Linked DNA regions of Oryzias latipes. The protein of the gene in region 2 purifies or fractionates together with the protein of the main gene of each other region. This does not show direct contact. Links are inferred from orthologs where the notes say so. Each region holds a gene or a part of one and is shown on either strand. Other genes may lie near its edges. The genes, in order: trub2 and rcc1l.

The links.
Region 1: the proteins of rcc1l (region 2) and trub2 purify together in Homo sapiens (affinity purification with mass spectrometry; 3 studies listed by BioGRID and IntAct, with this or other methods). This does not show direct contact. The link is inferred for Oryzias latipes from reciprocal best matches to the Homo sapiens genes RCC1L and TRUB2.

What each region holds. Positions count from the first base shown.
Region 1 is NC_019863.2:528,852-532,772, reverse strand, and holds the start of trub2 (mitochondrial mRNA pseudouridine synthase TRUB2), read left to right. Parts: upstream 1-1,096; 5' UTR 1,097-1,219; coding exon 1,220-1,331; intron 1,332-1,429; coding exon 1,430-1,564; intron 1,565-2,575; coding exon 2,576-2,650; intron 2,651-2,737; coding exon 2,738-2,799; intron 2,800-2,884; coding exon 2,885-2,966; intron 2,967-3,150; coding exon 3,151-3,223; intron 3,224-3,921. UniProt on the Homo sapiens protein: Minor enzyme contributing to the isomerization of uridine to pseudouridine (pseudouridylation) of specific mitochondrial mRNAs (mt-mRNAs) such as COXI and COXIII mt-mRNAs.
Region 2 is NC_019872.2:27,476,665-27,480,485, reverse strand, and holds part of rcc1l (RCC1-like G exchanging factor-like protein), read right to left. Parts: coding exon 3,808-3,821; intron 2,921-3,807; coding exon 2,854-2,920; intron 1,502-2,853; coding exon 1,450-1,501; intron 1-1,449. UniProt on the Homo sapiens protein: Guanine nucleotide exchange factor (GEF) for mitochondrial dynamin-related GTPase OPA1. Activates OPA1, by exchanging bound GDP for free GTP, and drives OPA1 and MFN1-dependent mitochondrial fusion. Plays an essential role in mitochondrial ribosome biogenesis.

The DNA.
Region 1 (3,921 bases), on a different chromosome or scaffold from region 2:
GCTGAATCTACAGATACTAGACACTTTGGAAAGGGTGTATTTGGAGCCTACAAAAAGTAGTTTGGTTTTGTCGCTGTTGAGTTTAATAAAGTAAACCAGTTTTTGATTTCAAACAAACAGGAGGAAAAGGTCGGGGGTGGAAGAGAGGAATCAGGTTTACTGGACAGATAGAGCTGGGTGTCATCCCCGAAACAAGGAAAGTCAATGTTGAATTTACGAAAAATAATGCCAGAAGTAGGAAGGAACTGATTAAGAGAAGAGGACCGAGGACAGAACCCTGAGGAACACCCGTAGAAACTGATGAAGACTGAGATCTAATTTAAGTTGGATGAACTGAGAAGAATGAAACCAGCAGAGGGGGGTGGGAAAGACAAGAAAGTCTATGGAGGAGGATGGAATGAAATATTGAGACTATTTTTTCCGAGGATTTTGGAAATAAATGGCAGGTTAAAAATCAACAGTACTTGCTAAGAATATTAGGATCGGAGCCGGGTTTTTCAAAGAACAGTACCAGAAGCTGATAAAGAATGAATAATGGCAGAGATAAGGAGACGGAGAAAGGGGAGGCATGATCAAAGAAGCTGACATGCAGACGGTTTTGACCTTGGATGAGGGGGGAGATTTCACTGGGATCTGGTAACTGGAAAGTAGAAAATGTATGGGAGAGAGAGAAAGAACCGGGGGGGGGGGGGGGGGGGGGGGGGGGCTGATGTATAGTTCTTTGGTGTCACTGGAGTGCATGTGAGAAGGAAGACATGAGAGATGAGACACATTGGATAGACTTATTTGAACATTTGAGCACACTCACTAAGGAGTTAGTGTGAGCACCGGCCTAATTTAATTTAGTCTCATTTTTTGTTGTGCATTAATTAGTTTTGAAGTTATGACTGTATGTGTAGACATGTATACATTTTTATTGTTATGATAAAAAATGAAATTCAAAATAACTTCTTTTATTGTTTGTTTGTTAAACCTTTCCCCTTAACTGAATTGTTTAATAAAACACAACCAAACAAAAACAGGTTTATTGACCTTTTATTGTCGTCCTCCAGTCCAGCAGGTGGCAGTATAAAAACAGCATCTAACCTGGTGAGGCGTGTGGTACAATGTACGCATGCGTCATAGCAATGTGACGGATTTTTGCATCCTTGTGCAGCTGACTGGCGTGACAACCATCTAACAATGTAAATTTATAGTAGTAATAATAGTTTTTAACACCATGGTAACCCCGCTAAAGCTTCGCCGGTTACACGGCTTGTTCTGTGTTTACAAACCCCTCGGCGTGCACTGGAAGCTCGTGCGTGATACCATCGAGACTAACCTCCTTAAAGGTGAGGGGGAAAGCTGTCCTGTCGGCATAGCTATCCACATTCATGTTTTTAAACTGCGTCACGTACATGCAAATGTTCATGAACCTGTCGTTCTGCTGGAGGGAACGTCGCCCCCCCACCGGCTCTTCCCCACAAGGTTCGGTTCTTGGCGGAACCGAGTCCGACCGGCGAGGCCGGAGCGGCGGCGTCGCTGTCCGCGGCACCGGTGCCTGCGCTCTCCCATCATCCTCTGGGTAAGTCGCTGTGGAAGTCGGGTTTAGTTTCATTTCTCAGCTTCAGCCAGAGAATCAAACCTATTGAATAGCCAAAATTACCATTACTGCGCATGCGCTGTACGTGCTCGGGGTTTGAGAGGACGCAGAGAAGCTGTAGAATACCTGTAATTGTGTGCGACCTGAGAAAGCAGGCAACAGAATGAACCAGTCAGTGGTGACGTCAGAGCAGCAGAACAACCATCAGCAGTGTTTCCTGTCTGAGCTCCATCACATCGTTCCAGTTTTACGACTCACTCCTATGAAAACTGTGTGTTTCACATGTTCTTGTGGCATTTTTCTCATGATGGACATCTATGAAAGAATTGAAGCTCAAAGCAGCATTTCCGAGTATTTGTTTAATCAAATCGCAGTGAATCAGGAGCAGACGAAAACATGCAGTTGGAATAAGCTTGTAGATGTAGAAGCTGCAAACTTCCTGCTCTGCTCCATTCTGATGCATCCGCATGTGGATGACTACATCCTCCGTGGCAGTGATGGTGTTAGGAACTAAAAGATGACTGGGAACACTTTTAGAATATATCAGAGGATGATCATAGTGGGACTTTAAGACCAGAATATCAACACTCAGAAAACCCAAATACAGAAAATGCTAAAAGATTCATGAAATGTTTGTAACTGAAGCCAACTAAACAAGAAGCAAACTGACAACAAAAGAATCGTTGAAACATCTGTTAAAAGAAAAAAAGGGACAATTGCAGCACAGACAACATTTGTAATGATCCTACGACAAAAAGGCTGCTCTAAACACACTTTGAATTGAGGTCATTATAAAGGTTGATTTGATTCATGTCCTGCACGTTATGCCCCCCCCCCCAGGTAAAGATTTTGAATAAAGTTCAGGGCCTACAGTTATAAAAGGCTGTTTCCATGTGAGGAACTGTGACTGTGGGGAACAAGTGTCCATCATTGTTCATTTAAAAGGTCAGGAGACCCAGATTTGCATCTTGATTTTGGGATTTCTCATTTCAGTAACCGGACCTGAATTCCAACACATACGCGTTGGAGTCGGCCATCGCCTGGACGCCGCCTCCTCTGGAGTTCTGGGTATGACCTCTCACCTGATCCTGAGGTGATGCTGCTGCATCCAACCTGAACAAAATAAGAAAGGACCGCCCTGTGTTCACGTTGTAGTTCTCGCTGTTGGGAATGGAAACAAGGCTCTAGATGACCTGTACAAGACACGAGTGACCCGGGTAATGCCTGTCCTCTGCTGGTTTGAAGAAGTAGTTCAGCTACACGCTGTGGCGATGAGCTCAATGCTGCTTTTGTTCCTTTCAGGATTATATGCTGGAATGTGAATTTGGGATGGCAACCAAAGACTTCTCTCACACGGGTCGAGTTGTGGAAAAATCCACTTACGGTAGTTTCCCTTTTTTCACAGCGTCTTAAACCACTGAAGAAATGTTTCAGAATAAAACAAATGAGGTTCAGATGTATTTTAAATAAGCAGGTGCTGTCTGGCCTCTTCCATTAGGACTGTGTTAAGGAATGGTTTATACTGGAATGGTTTATACTGCACACCCATAAGTGTTGTGTTTTATCAGGTCACATCACTCTTGATAAGCTGGAGAGAGTGCTGGCAATGCTGGAGGGAGCCAATCAGAAGGCAACGAGAATGTAAGGCAGTGACTGCTAAAAGTCAAATATTTCTCTAAATCTGACTCTGGTTTTTTTCTCAACCCGTTAACACCGGACGGAGCTCCAGTGTTGACTTTCTTCTGACTGCCGTACCTTTTCAACTGCTTATGCTCTGAACCCAATTCCAGAGGAGTCTGACGTGGAGAAAAGCAGCTTTGTGCTGATATGTGACGCTTTAAAGCTACATCCATGCAGCACCTCGCATTCAAGTGGACACTCTCTCTAAAAAGTCAACGTAAACGCCCGTAAACCCAGGTTCAAGGCTTCTGTGGTCCAGACCCTCACGTCATTGAAGTGTGACAGTCTGCTCTACGTGCTGAACTCACACCCACACTTTAGCTGAACTCCTGTTTGGTAATGACGTATAGACGGCGTCCTTTTGCAAACACGGATTTGCCAACCTTTGTAAACATGATTATGAAGGAGAAATTCATATTTGTAACGCACCGGGTCTTTCATCGGAATAGAGCTGAGAGAGAAAAAGCCCCGGGGCAATTAACGTGGGATTTACACCACTTTGACATTTCGCACCAAGCCTCTTCCAACCGTAGGTAGTGGACACCTGCTGGTATCCATCCATCCCTCCCTCCACCCATCCACCCATCCACCCAACCATCCCTCCCTCCCTCCCTCCCTCCATCCATCTTCATCACATAAGGGACCGGGTCGAGGGATCA
Region 2 (3,821 bases):
ACTGTTAGATGGGTTTATTATTAAAATAAATCTTATCTTCTGCTGGAAAACAATGTCTAGTCGTTTTTTTTAGAAGCAAAGTTCCTAAAGTTTATAGGCTGCGTTCCTCCTGTAGGCTGCTGACATCACAGTGCTGTCCAAATTCAACGACTCCTTCAAAGGCGGCCTTCTTTTACCGGATTTCAAGGATCGGCCCCTCTATGGCGGGGGTCTGCAACCTTTCACAATAAAAGAGCCATTTGGGTCCGTTTGTCACAGAGCAAAACCCAGTGAGAGCCACAAAGTTCTTGTTTGGAAAAACACTTTCCGTTTAATGTTTCGGTGGCCGTTAGACCATTTATGTATGAAATTGTTATAAAATATAATAATTGAAGTATAAACTGTGATGGTTTTTTCTATACACAACAAATTATGTTCTTTGACTGTAAAAGCAGCACATGCAAAAATACGCCCAAATAAGTGTGTTAAATAAGAAATATTCTTGATATTTTCCATTTTTATGATTTTGGTGCGCCTTCATCTGACGAGTTAAAAACAGAAACGACTAAACCTAATTCAAACAAATTAACCAAAACAATATTTATCATTTATTTCGTTATTTTTCTTCAAAGCCAAGGAGCCACAAGTTGAAGACCCCTGTTCATATCCCAAGATGCATTGCAGCCGAACCCAGAGATTTCCTGACAACAATGGCGGACTGTGAAGCGGGACCCGGAGTTGGAGAAAATTGCACTTTTTTTTTATATTTACACCTCCGAGATTAAAAGCTGGATCAAATAAAGACAGGAACATTTTAAGCATCCTGGTTCCCTACTCCTCTCTGTTCGGGACTCAGGGTTGCTAGGCGACAGGACACCCACCGATGTAATGGCTAGAATTACCTAAAGGCTAGACCGGTTCATATTCACAACCGTCAACCCGCTCGACGAAGGACCCGGCCAACGCAGGACGACGGCCTCGTTTCTGACACACCCATAGTTGCACTAATGTGGATGGATTTACTGCTGTCATGTTAATATTTGATGGTAAAAAGGGAAATAAAGATGGCGGTGAACCCAAGTCATAATGATCGGAAACGCCGTGTTTGACTTCAGCCTTTTTAATTTAAGTAAATCTGCTGCAGCAGGAAGATCTTAATTGTATTTTATTTTGAAAGGATCCTGTTGCAGTCCAAAGTAAAAGAAGTTAAAATATGTTATGTATAGAAAAAAAAACCACTTTTACGATTCAGTTCTGGTTAACATTTAAAAGCTATACTTGATTTTTATTTTTGTAAGCAGTGAGTCGGGACTTGGTTCTGGTTCAGGTCTGTCAGAAACTGGACCAAATGGCTCTTTTACTGTGAAAGTGTGCAGACTCCTGACTTAACTAAAGAGATCTACTTAATGCAGACGGAGTGGACACTTTGCAATGGGTGTGCCTCAAGAGGACTGCCCGGGTGTGCCTCACCTGGACGACCTTGTCGCCGAAGCCTTCCATCTTGTGGATGACGTGGCTGTCGCTGTTGAAACCAAAAACAGGAACCGTCAGTCAGACGACCAGAGTCTCTGATCTCCTGATCTGTGTTCAAAGCGTTGCCTTTAATTATAACAATGTCGTTTTTAGCCTGAATCTAAAACACTGTGACATAGAGCGACCCCCCCCCCCACTTCCTCTCATCGACACTTGTTTGTTTGCTCCTGATTCACAACGATTTGCATAAAGAAATACTGGGAAATGCAATTAAGCCTAAGTTTCTTTATATATGTCCTCCACCATCAGAAAAATGCTACAATAACACGTTAAAAACACTAAAAACACCATTTTCAGCGAAACAGATCGAGATGAACAGAATGAAGCTTCACAAATGTTCATGTTCTGCAATATTATGAAGATCCAGGAGATAAATATTCCTTTAAAGGTTTTCATTTGTTACTTTGCCTTTAAATCTTTTTTTAAAGTCATCGTTACAATCGTTAATCCTCATCTCAGTTCCATCAAAACCACGTTTTTCTGTGTTTAGATTGATGCTGTTTTTCAAAATAAAATCACGTTTAAGATTTTTACTGATGCCAAAAGGAAAACAGCAAATCTCTAAAGTAAATCCTAAACAAGAGATTTCCAGAGAGCTGCCTAAACTATTTCAGTGAGAAAAACCAAACCTGGAGCTTTGCTGAAACATAAATTATACATTTCTATTCACAAATCTGCTTTCAAGTAACCCTTCTTTCCACCTTTATCCACCTTTGTCATGGTAGGGAGAACACGTCAATGTAAGGGGGGGGTCATATGGACCCCATAGGATAGCACAAGGGTTAAAGAACAGAACTTAAACATCCACTTCTGCAAAAGTCTAGTTTTCTTGTGAATTTTGCTGAAAAATCTAAACATTGTTGCCATTTTAAATGATCACCTTGGTGTAATAAACATTAATGTCTGTTACAGCTTTTATAATTGGATCAGTCTATTTAAATCAAATTATTTTTATCATTATTATTATCTTATAATTGTTTTTACTGAGTAAAATAAACAATAAAAGTGAAATAGATTTTTTTGTTTTAATGATTCATCATCATAAAATATAATATAACTTTTATCAGGTGATTATTCCTAAACATAAATAAATTATCTCTAATAATGTCTTAATGTTGAATCATAAAGAAACAGGAAAGATTAAAGTATTTTATCACAAGAAAACCACAAAGCAGATTGATTTTTTCTGCTTTATCCTATTTTTAAAAAAGTTCTTAAATTAATCTGTTCTTCCTTTATCTGTCTTAAAAACTGAGCTGATAGAAGAAAAGACTGGATTTAAATCAGAGAAATATCTTGTATTTCAGCAGAAAAATGATGCAATAAGTTAAAGCGACGCACCTGTAGACTTCATCTCGGACTATCCGCCTCCCACACTGGCCGAACGCGTTGTTGCCCAAACTGAAAACTAACAAATGACAAACACAAAAGTGAAGTTTTCAGATATAAAACAGGAGAGAAAAAGAAAAACACTTTCATTTGGAGGCGTCTTTCCATACAAATAAACTCAAATGAAATTGGACTTTTCTCAGATAAGTGATGAACGTCTGAATGAACTAAAACATAACATTTAAGGCAACGGAGCAAAAAGAAACAAACATCTTTGTGACACGTCTCTCCCCTGAGTGCCAGACATGAAGCCACAAAGCTCGTTTCAAATCATAAAAGTCCATTTTTATTGGTTTCACTCGTCACAGTGAACATCTGCTGCAGTGGAGTGGCGTTCAGAAGCACACATGAAGGAGGTTTCCGCTCCACCAAAGCACCAGAAGAAAAGACGCCAAAGCTCCTTCTAGCGCCAACGTTTCAACTCGTAGTCCACGAAAGGTTCTAACCAGGAGCAAATGTGTGTTTTGGTAATCCACCTTAAAAATAAATAAATACATAAAATGGAATCTGGACAAAATTATTTTGATTGAAAATAAAGATATATTTTAAAACGGAACATTTTGTTTCAAAACTGTGTCTTTTCTTCTCATTTTAGAGGCATTTGCATCATTTGATGCACGTCGTGTAAAACGCAAACTCAAAGAAATGCTGCGTTTGTGCGGCGACCAACAAATCTTACACCACAATCCAGCAGCAGAAGAATTTTCTGCACACTTTCTGCAGAAAAAAAAAGCATCATCGCACTAAAAGAATGAGCGAAACCGCAAAAGATGAACTGCAACGTGGAAAGGGAACACTGTTCTGTTCTGTTTGACAGACTGTGTGAAAGAAGACAGCATCCCTGATCTGGTTCAGCGGGCTGTTGGCCCCGCCCTGTTCTAGAAAAGCACAAACATCTCGTCTCACCTCCTTCTCTGTCG